Tamandua tetradactyla: one gene and its partner. The protein of the gene in region 1 binds, or shares a complex with, the protein of each later gene. Links are inferred from orthologs where the notes say so. Each region holds a gene or a part of one and is shown on either strand. Other genes may lie near its edges. The genes, in order: IL22RA2 and IL22.

Region 1 (7,558 bases):
ACTGTCACCCCAGTGAAGTCCAATTTACTCACATTTTGTACTGCACGAAGTAGAGGGTGGTGGCCCCAACCAGCGCCTTCCCAGGCTGCCAGTGCAGAACGTTGCGAAAATTTCGGGACTGAAATCGAACCTTCTGGGGCCTCAGAGGTTCACGGGCTGGCTGGGTCTCTAAAATGATGAGAAAAAGGAGAAACCCTTGACGTTGATAGAGGCAGCCTTGTTTTACCAGTAGTAGCAAGGTCATGCCTGCCTTGGGATTCCCTGAAGTGTTTTCTCTACACCGCTGTGTGCAGAGGGTGGAGCTGGAGCCCAGAAGTCAACATCTTCAATCTTCAATGCCATGATTTTGATGGACGCAAACATTTCAGGACAATTGCATCCTAGATTTTTTAAAGGCAATATTCACCTATCACACTCCTCAAGCTAGAGAGGAAGTAAGCATCAGTAAAGAAAACCATTCCCTTAGACCCTTGCTGGATGGTAATGGAAGGGGATGGCCGAGACCAGAGGCCATACACGCCAAGGCTCCTCAGCCCACCCAGGGCCCCACTGCTGTGAGGCAAAGTGTGCCTGGAATTGATTTTGGCTCCTAGCTGCTCAGCTGGACTGGGCCAGCTAAGAACCCATGCTAGTGCCTGGTGTCCTTAGAGGATGGGGTGACTTAGCTCAGGTGTGGCCTGTGCTTTCTTCCTCAAGACAGGAGACATAGGAAGCCCAACTTCACCTGATATAGTTCCCTGGGAGCAAGAGCCCTTGGACAAAGTTGTATTCTAGGGTCTGAAGTTTATGATGAGGAGTAGGGGATTAGGCAGAAGGAGGATCAGGGGGCTACCCTCCGTTCTCCCTGACCTCCATTTCCCTGAGCTCCTCAGCCTTCTTACTCTCACTCTACCTGCTGGGGACCAGCCCACTCAAGGGGCTCTGCATTGGTGCTTCTCTTTTTCTGGAATGTTCTCCCCTGGGATTCTACACAGCTCGTTTCCTCGCCTCCTTCAAGTCTCGCTGGAATATCACCTTACTGAGATGCAGGCAGATACTCTAAGCCAATGATCTCAGTTCTAGATTTCAAGATCTGTTATTTTGTAGTGAATGGGGCTGTTTCCTCAAGGTATTTATTTCTACCAATCAAATGGTGTTTGTTTTTATTTTCAATAAGTCCTTGAGTGTCTCAAATGATAGCATGTGCTTGGAAAGCATCTGGGGCCACTGTTGATTTTACTCATCAGAATCACTACCTCATCAGTCATGTATAGGACATAAATTTCCAAGTTGGTTTGCTAACCTGAAGATAGATGCTGTGGTAGTTTGGAGCTGTGTGTACCCCAGACAGACGTGCTCTTATACATAATTCATTCTGGTGTGTGTGAACCCATTGTAGGGAGGACCTTTTGATGAGGTCACTTCCGTTAAGGATGTCCCTTTTCAATCAGGATGGGTCTTACCCCTATTTGTGGCATCCTTTATAAGTGGAGTGAAATTCAGATGGACAGACAGAGAGAAAGCCGCCAAGGGAGCAGCCAGAAGCTGAACATCAGCGGAACATGTAAGAGAAGGGAGAGTACAGGGGACACTGCTGTGTGCCAGCTAAGGACCAGCAGCCAGCCCCAGGACACCACAGTCTCCAGGAGAAAGCATCACCTTGGTGATTCCTTGATTTGGACTTTTTTCCTAACCTCAAAACCATGAAGCATTAAATTCCTATTGTTTAAGCCAACCCATTGTATAGTATTTGCTTGAGCAGCCAAGGAAACTAAAACAGAAGCTCAATGCACTTTACCTCCTATGTCTATAGATTCCTTCTCTTATTATTGTAACAACAATTCCAGCATCACCAAGGATGACCCACTGGGCACCAGATGCTGGGGATGGGGGTGGGGGGACTCTACCTGCATTACTGCAGCTCACCTGCCAGCTGGTCTACGAGGATGTGCTGTTTCTGCCTCCCTCTCGTAGAATAGAAAACTAAGGCTTTAGTGAAACTAGTTTTGCACCCAGACAGTCTGACTCCAGAGCCTGCCACTTCCCTATCCAGAGAACCAGAGCAAAGCTTCAGGAGAGAGGAGGAGCAGAGGGAGGAGGCAGAGAATGAGAGGCGGAGCAAGTCCTCTTTGCCGCCCTGCCTCCCCTCTTCCCTCTGGCACTCATTCATCGAGTGTGCCCTATAGATCAGAGGCTGTGCTCGGAACTTTACATCTTACTGAATTCTCATGACTCTCAGAGAAAGTGAGCATTTAACTATTCCATTTTACAGATGGGGAAGCTGAGGCTTAAAGATGTCCTGTCTCTTGACCTAAGTGACAGGGCCATGAAAATGCACAACCAGGATCATTTTGGTAGCATCTGAATCCCAGCCAAAGTTTGCTAATGAGTTGGTATTATCAAGGGCAGAGGTGCAGTTTCCTCAAATCCTCACCCGGTGGAGGGCAGAGGCCTGGCTTGTGCTTATGCACCTGTCACTAGCCTCTGTGTGCTCTTAGGAAATACCTGAGCCTCTTGCACTGACAGGGACCCACCGCAAACCATGACCGGCCCCGGGATGCATTGTGATAAGATGCTCCAGCTCCCGAAGCATTCCCTGTGTGACCCAGCAAATCCTCACATGCTCTTCTGGGTCCCCATTCTCTGCCAGCCACTGCCCCACCTGCCTGGCATCTCCACATTCACGTGATCTTCACAATCACCAACAGCCTCTGTTCTGCAGGTGAGGAAATTGAGGCACACAGAAGGGGATGTAACTTGCCCCAGGCAGAGTAGAAATTCAACTTCAGGCAGTTTGGCTGAGGAATCTATGCTCCCTGGCCCCTAGAAGGCAAAGGAAACTCTCGGCAGAGAGAGCAAGCCAGTGCACGTTCGTCCAGCTGCACGTTTCTTATACCCTCTAGGGTGTTTGCTCCTTTGAAGATATGTCTCAAGGACATGTGGAGTTCATCTGGCTGCAGAGTAACTGACCCTATGTCTTTCCCTTCATTGGTGACAGAAGAAAGCTGAAATGTTGATAAAGCCCAGAAAAGAGCCAGTGCCCTTTCTAACAGGTCTTTGATCATCTGGCAAAGCTGTGAGCAATTAACAAGAAAGAAAACACTTACCTCCCACACCGGCCAGGAGGATGAGGATGCCTAGAAAGCCGAGTTGGGGCCCCATGGTCCCGAGCGCGAGTGGCGGGTGCCCCATGTCTCCTTCAGCGAGAGGCAGCTCACGGTGAACGGGGAACTGGAAGATTCCCACGCCAATATCTGGCCCCCTGGGTTTAACCAAAGCCAATTGTTCCTGAAGCAACCACAATTCCTTTGTGTAACTACATTGCATGCTTTTATTTGTGTAGGGGAGTTAAAAAGTCCAAAGTGTCATTTCAGAACCCCGTGCGGTGCATCTCCTTTACAACACGGCAGCGCGCGGTGGCTGGGACCGGCGCTTCGTCAGCTGGGAGAAGGTACAACGTAGAGCCCTGGCACACCTGGCGGGGCAGGAAATTGTGCAAGGGGCACGCAGGTGAGCGAGAAGAGGCTCAGGAGGCCCGGAGGGGATCTGTCAGGAAGCAGGGTGTGGCTGTTGGGAAGATTCTGAGTGATGTGCTCGGCAGTGGCTCAAGGCGACTGGCGGACCCTGCTCTGTTTCTGTCTTTGCCTCCTTTAGGTCCAGGCTGACCCCTCGGGGGACCCACTTCCCTCCCGCCACCCTCTAGCTTTCCAAAGCCCCCCTGCCATCCTCACCACCCTGCCTGCTCAGAGACCCGTTCATGAATGATGACTCTCCCTTTTCCGTCCCCATCCTTGGGCTCCAGGACTCATCAATCTGGACAAAGATTATGAGTTTGTCAAACCAAAAGACCCCCTCCATGAGAAGGTACACGGAGGACGAGGCTGTGAGCTGCTACCTTAGGTCTTCGTTCATATCGCCCCTGAAATCTGTTTGAGCCAAGCCATCTGTTCTTTGCCCATGAGTCATTGTAACATTTTTCTTACTGATATTTTTTTTTACTGCATGTTTTCAGAGGCACTAAAAATACACATTAAAGCACAAGAAAGTTGCAAAGATTTTTTTTTTTAAAGAGAGGCTTAGGTCAAAAGAGGAAATATATTCTGGCTTTTTTTTCCTTTTGTGTATCTCTTTGAGTCTTTGGTGCCATGTCCCCTTTAGTAAGGAGTAGTGATGGTTTCTGAGCAGTACCCATTCATTCATTCACTCATTCATTCAATAGCATTAAGCACATATTTGCGGCCCTAGCATGAACTAGGTGTTCTCAGCACCCAGGATGCAGCAGAAAACAAGACACGAAGTCGCTGCCTTCCCTAAGCTCCTCTAAAGGGAAAAACAGAAAACAAAGAGCTCTGGCAGGGCCCTGGCTACTGGTAATCTCTCCTCCTTAAATGGGAGGCCAAATGTTCTGGAAGCCTGTTTGCAAAGCCACTTTTCTCACCACCACCCCCCGACCCTCCCCAAAAAAGAATAGGTGAGGCCCAGGGCTGTGGGAAGGGAGGGAAGGAATGAGGGAGCTGAAGTGGGGGTGGGCCCAGCTGCTGGGTGGGAGGTACATGGAGTTCTCAGAGAGGGCTGGGGAGGAGATTCTGGGTGAGAAAGGAGCACAGGGGACATTGTTCTCGAGTGTGGAATCCTTGCCACCCCATGCCCAGCCTCTGTGTACAACAGCTCTGGACCGTCGTGTGCCTGGCACGGTGAGCCTTGGGTGCAGCTGGGGACACCTGGGGAGCCCCACCCCTGATGAAGGTGTCTTGGAACAGAGCCCAGTGGGAATTTCCTTAGGGACCAGGGTAGGGTGAACCCAGGGCCACTGCCACACGATAAACTCCACAGTTACTCAAGGACCGATATGACACATGCTTTCTGAAGCCAAGGCAGCGTGGAGGGGCTTGTGACGGTGACACGGGGATTTCTGTGTGTCTGTGCTGAGTCAGACTTCAGAGTCCAGACACCTTGTCTCCTCCAGGGGAGGGTCCCTGTCTCGTAAGCTAACTATGCTTTTGAAGAAGGGATGAGACACAGGCCTTGTGTCCCTCATTTGCCCCTTGTCTGCTATCTCTCATCACCGTCCGTCTCTGACTTGTTGGCATTATCTGATGACTCTAGATTTTGCGTAAACCTTGGTTTTTAAATGGGGGATAACTCGGTTTGAACTAGCGGTGCTCAGTATCTTCAACGTTACTAGCTCTTGTTTCCAATTGAACAAATTGTGACAAATTCCAGTTAAACAAAAAGAAAAATATGTTAATTCAAGGTTTGATAGGTAGTGCAGCTGAGAATGAAGCTGGGGTTTCCAAAAGGGGTTCCTGACTTTGAAGAACAAATAAGGGGAAAATAAGAGGAGAAAGGAATAGAGAATATGCTGAGAGCAGCATCTCCCAAAGATGTGAACTTCTTTGCTCTGTTAAATTTCCAAAACCAAAACCAGTGCTTTCCCAATTCAGTGGGCTCTCATTGTGTGAAATCACCTGGAAGCCAAAGCCACCTGCAAGGCTGCGAGGTTGACGGAAAGGTGAAATTAAATTAGAATTTCCCACCAGTGGGGAAGCAGAAAAATTTGTCACACAGTTGTCTCAAATGAAATGACCTTTGGTTTGGGAAAGAAGAAAATCACAGTTGATGGAGCCCCCCGCCACTCATGCAACCCAGTTATATATGTGCCTGCTGTGAGAGCTTACAATCTAGGAACCTTTCAATGAGCCTTCCCCTGATAACCTATGCTTTCAAATTCAATGCTTCACTTCAAGCACGAAATGCCCGCTTCAGACCATTCTCTGTGCCCAGCCCCATAGAGAGAGCCTGCTGGATGCGCCAGAGAGGTCCCCAGGGTGCCCAGACAATTCCTGGAGCCCCTGCCTGGCCAGACTTGCTTCGCGTCTTCCTTTCTCCTTGAGGCTGCCCACAGACCAGCCACTCATCTCATTAAGGAATTGTTATTAGTTATTCTTAGGTTGATACAGGTGTGGTGGTTATTTTTATAATCATTGTGAAGTTATTTTTAGAGATATATATTGATGTATTTACAGATGAAATGATATGATGGCCAGGATTTACTTTCAGATAATCCAAGGGGTTGGGGAAGGGACTGATAGCCACAAATTAATAATTGTCAAAATGGGCAATTAGGTTCATAGGCAGTTCACTATATTCTCTATTTTTGTATATGTTGGACATTTTTCATAACAAAAGAAAAAAGATTAAACATTTTACCTACAAGTTGCTACCCTTATAAAACTCCTCTGGTCATTTGAATGCCATTTTGGGGTTGATAATGATCTAAGTGTTTACTCTATCATTGTGGAGCCCTGAGTTAAGTCCTTTGCATACTGTCTAAGGTTGCTAGAGCTGCTATGACAAATACCATGCAAAGTGTTGGCTTAAACAATCGGAATTTATTGCCTCATGATTTTGGAGGCTAGAAGGCTGGCTTCCCCCCAGGGACAGAAGCATTTAGTGCTAGCTTGCCACAATCCTCAAGATTCCTTGGCTTGTATCTCTGCCAGCCATCACATGATGATGTCCTCTCCATTCTCTTCTGGGTTTCCACTGAGTTCCAGTCTTTGGCTTATCACTTGGCTTTCTCTTTATAAAGCCTCTAGTAATCTGGATTAAGGCCCACCTTGGTTCAATTGGCCATGCCTCTACTAAAAATAGCATCATCAAAAAGGTCCTACTTACACATAGGGTGCTATATGTGCTGCTTTGAAACAGTCATGTACCCCAGAAGAGCCATGCTTTTAAAATCTAATCATGTGGGGCAGACCCATTGCAGGTGGGAACTTTGATTAGTTTATTTCTATGGAGATGTGACCCCAACCATTCAATCTGTGTCTTAATTAGTTTGCTGGAGTCCTGAAAAGAGCACATGGAGAGGGAGAGAGAGAGAGAGAGAAAGAGACAGAGAGACAGAGAGAGAGAGAGAGTTCAGAGTGGACACAGCAGAGAAATGAAACCAGACACAGACTTTTGGAGATGCTAAGCTAAGAGATGAAACCCAGAGTCTGCCTGGGGATGCTAAATGAGGGTCCACAGACACTTAGAGAGAAAGCCAATGGAAACAGGAGCTGAAAGAGCCATTTGAAACCAGAATCTGGGAGAGAAGGCCAGCAGGCATCACCATGTGCTTTTTCCTGTGACAGAGGAACCTGGATGCAATTGGCTTTTCTTGAGTGAAGGTATCTTCTTGTTGATGCATTAATTTGGACATTTTCAAGGCCTTGGAACTGTAAATTTGTAATCTAATAAATTCCTCTTGTAAAAGCCAATCCATTTCTGGTATATTGCATTCCAGCTGCTTTAGCGAACCAAAATACTATATGATCTTGCAACCTTATTATTAGATATATACTTAGAAGAACTGAAAGCAGGGACACAGATAGACATTTGCACACTGGTGTTTACAATGGCAATAGTCATGATTTGCAATGGATAGAGGGGGCTTAAGCGTACATTGACTGATGAACAGAAGAGTGAACTGTGGCGTAGACATACAATGGAATACAAAGTGGCTCCAAAAGGGAATGGAGTTGTGGGGCATGCAACTAGGTGAATGAAACTTGAGGACAGTGTGTTGCGTGAA
Region 2 (7,236 bases), on another chromosome or scaffold:
AAAACGCATTAAAGACCAATTGTGAAAGATAAAACCACAGAATAAATAAAACAAAAGGTATAGTCTAAAATAAAACATATTTAAATAAGTGCTAAATAAAATAAATAATGAATAAAATGTATCTTTGTGACTTAGGGGTGGAGAGAGACTTCTTAAACAAAACCTTGAAAAGTGTAAACCATATGATGAAAAAAAGACTTTGATTATATCCAAATTAGGTGTTCTGTTCAAGAAAGAACAAATAAACACAACTTGGGAGAAGAGTTTGTCATGCCTAAAATCTACAAGGGAAGGATATCTAAAATATATAGGGAACTCTTAAAAATTACAAGAAAAAGACTAAAAGCCCAACACAAAAATGGGCAAAAAATGCAAATGGCCAATTTACAAACATGAGAAACCCAATATGAAGAAAAATGCAAATTAAAACGAGAGGATATCACTTTAAACGGCCAAAACTGGCAAAAAAAAGTTGGCTAATTCTAAGTATGGCTAATACTAAATATTGTAAGGAAGCAGCAATCTTGATTCACAGATGTGAGAGAGATGAATGCTGCTTTTCCAGAGCACAATCTGGCAGTACCTAGTAAGAGTAAATAAACGTGTCCATGTGACCCAGTGAATAACCCCCTAGACAACTATTCTAAAGATATTTTTGCAAAAGACCATTAAAAGGGCTTGCCTGAGGTTGCTCAGTTTTAGGGTCAGTATGGTGTGTAAGTGGAAGCAGTAGCGGTGCCCATCAGAGGGGAGACAGGGCAGTACATGTGGTGGGTATACACCATGGAGTGTCATGCTGGAGGCATGAGCTACACACGGCAACATAGAGCTCAGAGTGCAAAAGTAAGAAAGAGAACCATTCCTATAATATGAAAACACCTACCCACACTAAACTGGACTTCAGGTGTTATAAGGGTACATACATATTCAGAACCACATTAAACATATTAGAGCAGTGGTTATGGCAGGGAAAGAGGTGGTCTTGGGCGTGGGAGGTGTTTGGTGGGGAGGGAAGGAGAATAATAAGGGTGGGCACACACACACACGTGCACGTGCAAATGTGCACACGAGGGACCATGTATGGAACAATGTGCTTTGAGCTGAGAAGTATGATGAGCTCAAAACTTTTCACCTGTGATATAAAAAAAGTCTTCCTTCTCCTAGGGAGTAGGGAAGTAATTTAATTCCTGCTGTCCGTGGGTCTTTGTTCGTCATCTTTGTGTGCTAGCACTCTAGGTGCTGGCGATGGGATGGCGAATGAAACAGAAGAAGCCTACCTTCTGCTTGGGGATTCTGGTTGGCTTTTTCTGACATATAGATTGTTGCTTATATCCAAAATAAACTATGGGTTTATCTTTGCAGGGGCCTAGTGTCATGGCCATGGGGAATCTTTGTATCTGGGGTGAAAGAAGTACCCAGGTTTTAAGGGAGTCTTGAAAAATGACAAGGAAACATCTGAAGAGAAGGCTCATTGTGATCTGAAATTATTCGGTACACATGTCTCCAGTTAATTTTTTTTTTTCAGGAGCAGTTTTATATGATATCCACAATCTCTTCTAATAGTTAATATTTTTGAAACGCCTAGTATGATTCGGGAATCTGCGTATAGCTGCAGAACAATTTTTCGCCTAATCAAGCTCACTAAAACCTAACATCTTGGGCTCACTGACAGCTTGAACCATCAGGGGCACACAATGAATAGTCGGCATATTGTTGCTATTAAAGATAACTTTGCAATTTTCTGGCATTTGTTTTCATTGCCCAATTATTTATTTCCTATTTAGAACAATAGTGAAGTTGGTAAATTGGCTTGAACCCCAATTTTAGAAGTACTGAGAAGGCAATTCAGAATTGCTTCCATGTATGTTCCCTAAGATATTTAGTAAATTGTTAAAATTCATGAACCTATTTATCTATTTATTCAATATGCTTTTACTTAGTCCTTCCTATCTGTGCAGAACTTGCTAATTGTGGGAGATAAAAAAATGAGAGAGACAGAGACCTTCCTCTTGAAAGCTTACAATTCGGTGAGGTCAAAACACATTTCTCCAGGGGAACAATAATATTTATACTTGTCGGGTTCTTAGGCAAACCAACAAAAGCCTATTTAATCCATAATATAGCTTAATTCTAGTGCTAATTCAATTATACAGAGTTCTGGGCAAAAATGGCCATATCTCATGAAATAGAGAACTGGATAAAGAAAAGCTTCCTCATCTCTCTGGGTTTATGAGCAGCCCCAGGAAAAAATTTGGAGCAGATCTAGTTTTCATTTGCTCTCTGTAACCTTTCCTTTGGCACCTTTCTGCTTTCCTATGAGGCATCCTTCCCAAAAGCTCACTGGCCTCCAGCTGCCCTAACCCTTCACCGTGGCACTGCACCTAGATCTGTGCTACCTCGCAAAATGCTCAAGATTCCATAATTATTCACTTCCCTCAGTTCTCCAACACTCCTGAGCTCAACTAGTTGAGAGGAGAAAAATCTGGTTAAACAAATTTGCACTAATTCACATTCCTTTTTCCAGCAACAGGTAGTTGTATTTTGAAAACTATTTGCTTGTTTACCGAAAAGTACCACTCTCTCCTGGAATGGATAGTTGTGGAAAGAAAACAAGTGAGTTTTCTAAGTGGGGAGGAGAGGACTGTGGGTAGAGGAACAACCACGTGGTCACGTCCACTCTGCCTGGACATCGGTGGTCAGGGTCAGCGCCATGAAAGCATTTTAACTTTCCCAACTTCTTTTTTGTCACTTTTGAACCCAGAGACTTACTTAAAACTTGCTTTCTGCCCCTACACCTCAGGATGGTTTCCAGTCTAGTTTTTAGGTGTCATTTAGAATTAAATTTAGTTTTAATAATTTAAAGTCAACTTGTATCCACTATATTGCCAGACCCTTTTCTTCAGAAATCCATTTATATCATATAAATAATGATGAGAGGTGTCTGGAAATATAAATTTGAAACTTAACTTGTGTCCAGGTAAAATATCAAGGTGAACTTATATCTGCTGTATCCCTTGTATTCTTTGATTAAAAAAATACTTGCATCTTAAGAAAATGATGATCAGATTGTGTAGCATTATTATGTCCAAATTTAACTATGAATTGATTATAATTCAGTGAATAAAATGTAAGATTAATTTGTACCTGCCATAATTTTATGATTGCTTTTTCAATAAAAAATAAAAAATCAATCAAAAAAGATTCCTTTTTTAAAAGCTCCAGAATGGGAAGAAAACAGCACTTAGATTAGCTAACCTTACTATTTTTAAAATACATGTCTTGTTCAGGTTTCTACATGTTTAAAAAATTGAGATTAAATTATTTTTTTAAAATGGAATTCCTACAAGCCACTATGACCATTACCTTTAAAGCAGAGCATCTCGGACATGTGTCCTTTATTTCTAAACATGTCTAATGAGATAAAAATCTATGAAGCTGGTAGAAAAATGAGTCCGTGACCAAAATGCTTACTAAGTTACTATAGGAGATCAAAGAATAGCATACTGAATCTGGAATCTACTAAGACAAAGCAATTGTTTTCTCTGAAAATATGTAGGGTTAAGAGAATTTCTAGGATGCAGTCTGTGAAAGCCCCTCTGGGCCTTAATAGTGACGTATTAGGGAAACACTTGCATCTCAAGGTGGGAAGGATGGAAGGTGGCGTCTTGTGGCTCCTACGGTGGTTAGGTAGTTCTCAGAAGACTGAACTGGAAATTAGATAATTGCTGATGTCATATTTTTCATGATTAAAAAAAAAAGGCATCCTGGGGGATATAAAAGCAGCAGCCTCTACTCCTCACAACACAAGAAGTATCATTGAAACGGGTAAGTGTTTCAGCAAACTTGGTAAATTGATTTGTTTGGTGTGGATAATTTTTTTCCCTCATGTCATGTCTGTCTCGTGTTCTCCTGATACCAGGCTTTCCTTCCCATTTGCCGGTTGCTCAAGTTAGAGTTGTCTACAATGACCACCCAGAAATCTGTGTACCTTTCCCTGATGGGCATTCTGGCCACCAGTTGTCTGCTTCTTGCCCTGTTGGCCCAGGGTGGAGCTGCTGCACCCATCAGTTCCCACTGCAGGCTTGACAAGTCCAACTTTCAGCAGCCCTATATCGCCAACCGTACCTTCATGCTGGCTAAAGAGGTAATCATCTCACTTTCTCTCTTTTTCTCAGCTTATCTACTTGGCACCTAAATAAGGCTTAAATTTTACTTTACAGCACTTTAAGATCTTTAAGAACCCAAAATTATTCCCTACTGGCAACTCAGAGATAATTTCCCATGCCCCTTCATAGACTATTTAGAGACCTGGTTTTGCCAGAGGACCTTCCATTTTGGCCTTTAGGATAGATAACATTGAGTTTTACCCAAAGAGGAGCCAAGCAGCCCATCTAACTATTCATTACCCCCTTTACTCTTCAGTGCATTATTTTAAACTCATGCATATATCTCAATTCTTTCTCTAGTCTTTAAGGGGGTTGCTTTGGGGAAAGGAGCTGGAGAGTGGAATACCTCTCTACTTACAGACTTTTCTTCTATGTCTTCAATGTCCAGGCACTTAGATTCTTTTTCTCTTCCAGGCCAGTTTGGCAGATAACAACACTGATGTCCGTCTCATTGGGGAGAAACTTTTCCGTGGTATCAATGTAAGCCATACTCGTGATGGGCAGGGTAGTGTGCCATCCATGGTTATTTGGGGTGGTGGTGATGATGGTTTGCATCTTCTGCATGTCCTCCTATTGTGACCACTGCTGTTTGACCTTGGCCTTGCAGATGAGGGAGCGCTGCTATTTGATGAAGCAGGTGCTGAACTTCACCCTGGAAGATGTGCTGCTACCCCAGTCTGATAAATTCCAGCCCTATATGCAGGAAGTGGTGCCTTTCTTGGCCAGGCTCAACAACAAGCTAAGCCAATGTGTAAGTTCTTCTCCCAACTGAAATTCACCCACTTCTACCTACCTTCTTCCATTTAGGGTCCCCCATTCCACCATCAGCTGCTGATGGGTGCAGCAGCTCCGCCCTGGGCCAACAGGGCAATAGTATTATTCCAGCAATAATACTGTTGCTGACATACCTCAGCAATAGTATTACCAGGAGAGTTTCTTTTGCTTTAATAGAGTTAATGATGGTGAATGGGGGTCTGCAAAATGACTGCACGGAAGCCTTATTTGTTGGCCCTGGATAAAAGCAATTTGGGTCATATGTGATGAGAAGGTATTGGGAGATGTAAAGAAAAAAAACCTAGATGTGGAAATGGGTCACTGATTAAAATGTGTCAGCGGGTGGGGATGGGAGGAAAGAGAAAGTGAAAGCCAAAAAGAGGGAAACAGGAAGGTATAATGCTCAGGGTTGCTATGCAGACTGCTGCCTTTTGATGTCAGGGGAAGTGACAAAATCAGAGGAGTGTGAACATGATGCCTCTGAACATTTAAAACTATGAAAAAAGGTTAGAGTAGGGTAGGCAGAGGGAAGGGGACCTAGCATTTATCCAGGAGGGTCTACTCTTCAGGCGAGAAGTGTTATGCACTTTTCTTGTTCTGAGTACATGTTTTTAATGAGGTGCATTTTGGGTTTTATTCTGGTGAGAATCTGCATAAACCACTCCACTGTTTCCACCAGCTTAACCCTCAGTAGAATTGCACAAAGGTGAAGAGAGGTCCCATGTAAGGGAAGTGAATGGATGTTGGTGTCCAGAGGAATTCAAAAGCTCAGAAAATGTAGGCCACTGGTGAAATCTAGGTCACTGTGGGCAAAAATTAGTAAGCTCTTCAATTCCAGGTGAATTGTAGTGTACCTCAGACAGAGAGGCTGAGGTTCATTAAACTTCAGTGCTACAGTGTTAAAATAGTGATTCTTGCTTTTATTTTGTAGCATATTCAGGGCGATGACCAACATATCCAGAAAAATGTGCAAAAGCTGAAGGAAACGGTGAAAAAGGTATGATCACTATTAATGCCAAATCTTTGAATAGGACAGATATATGCCATCCTTTCCTTTTTCTACTTAGTGATTTCTACTTGATTCTCTTACTATCAAGCTGATAATTTAGGTACCTGCACACATAGATGTGTATATGTATTTATTAACCAATTTCCAAATTTTGCACATCATAGAAATCTAGAGCTGGCTAGGAGCTTGGGTTATCTATTCTCATTAACCCATAACCGTGAGATGGCAAGTGGCCAGCAAGACAAGGCTAGCACGGAAGTCTTCTGAATTCTAGACAAAAAAAGCAATAATAGACCCTCAGTTTTAGTATTATTAATTCTTAGGGAAAGTTCAGATTTCTGTTGATTCATATATTCTGAAGAAACACTTGTTCAAAAACAGAGAAGTACCTTGAGTGCATTTATGGAAATGAGTTGAAGCCATTTCTTTGATGATTTTAAACTTGAAGAAATAGACTTAAAACAATAACAAAAGAGGTGGACTTACCATAGGGTAAATTTCTGGAGTGACTGATACTTAGATTTAATTATCCTAACATAATACCCAGCAGCTATGGTTTCAGTTTAGAAGCAGGAGCAAACAATCTTTACATTTTTATCCAGATTCAAATAGAGTGAAAATCATTAGTAGTGGATTTATTATGGTGAAATGGAAGTCCGAATTGGATATTGTATTTTCTTCCTCTCTCTTTCTAGTTTCCTTTCTGCTTCCCTCAATAAATCCCTACTGAGAATTTATCTACCTTGTACCAGCATTCATTTCTGCAATGACTGATACTCTCCGGTGGCTATCTGGGGAAAGAACAATAGTAGATGACTTAGACTGTCAGTTGTGATTCACCCCAATACCAGAGGAATCATTAGTAGTCTGAGGAAGAGATGCTTTTCCAAGCAGATGCGATTAAACACTTAGAAATAGGAAGGCTCTAACTGATGGAATTTTCTCTAACAAGCCTAACCTCAATTTCCCCTCTATTTCAATCTTAATTTTTTTAAAAAAGTATTTCTTTCTGAGTGTATTTTAGTGAACATGAGCATTTCTTCCTTTGATAATCGAAAGCTCTGTAGTTTTTCATCAGAAAGATCAATTCTCTTGTTAGAGAATTATTAGATTTGAAGGGATAAATAGTAGCATGCCATAACCAAGAAGCATTTTTTTTTGTTTAAAAATCCCCAATGCCAGCTTATTTTGTCGTCTTTATAAAAGGCGAGTGAAAAAAATATGGTGTGGGAAAACAGGTTTTAAAACTTTTCATCCATTTTAGAGAGAATCAACTCTCATGTATGC

The links.
Region 2: the proteins of IL22RA2 (region 1) and IL22 are in contact, whole or in part, in a crystal structure (PDB 3G9V), measured with the Homo sapiens proteins. The link is inferred for Tamandua tetradactyla from reciprocal best matches to the Homo sapiens genes IL22RA2 and IL22. Residues at the interface, in NP_443194.1 of Homo sapiens: Lys65, Ile66, Tyr99, Gly100, Gln101, Arg102, Trp104, Gln128, Glu129, Pro130, Tyr132, Met148, Pro150, Arg151, Thr153, Trp155, Trp156, Glu157, Glu200, Pro246, Met247, Leu248, Asp249, Arg250; in NP_065386.1 of Homo sapiens: Phe47, Gln48, Pro50, Thr53, Asn54, Phe57, Met58, Lys61, Ser64, Leu65, Asp67, Asn69, Thr70, Asp71, Val72, Arg73, Leu74, Lys162, Gly165, Glu166, Asp168, Leu169, Met172, Arg175, Asn176.

What each region holds. Positions count from the first base shown.
Region 1 is NC_135351.1:37,377,724-37,385,281, forward strand, and holds the start of IL22RA2 (interleukin-22 receptor subunit alpha-2), read right to left. Parts: upstream 3,200-7,558; 5' UTR 3,172-3,199; coding exon 3,087-3,171; intron 169-3,086; coding exon 33-168; intron 1-32. UniProt on the Homo sapiens protein: Isoform 2 is a receptor for IL22. Binds to IL22, prevents interaction with the functional IL-22R complex and blocks the activity of IL22 (in vitro). May play an important role as an IL22 antagonist in the regulation of inflammatory responses.
Region 2 is NC_135333.1:136,421,030-136,428,265, reverse strand, and holds the start of IL22 (interleukin-22), read left to right. Parts: upstream 1-3,964; coding exon 3,965-4,144; intron 4,145-4,580; coding exon 4,581-4,646; intron 4,647-4,773; coding exon 4,774-4,917; intron 4,918-5,871; coding exon 5,872-5,937; intron 5,938-7,236. UniProt on the Homo sapiens protein: Cytokine that plays a critical role in modulating tissue responses during inflammation. Plays an essential role in the regeneration of epithelial cells to maintain barrier function after injury and for the prevention of further tissue damage.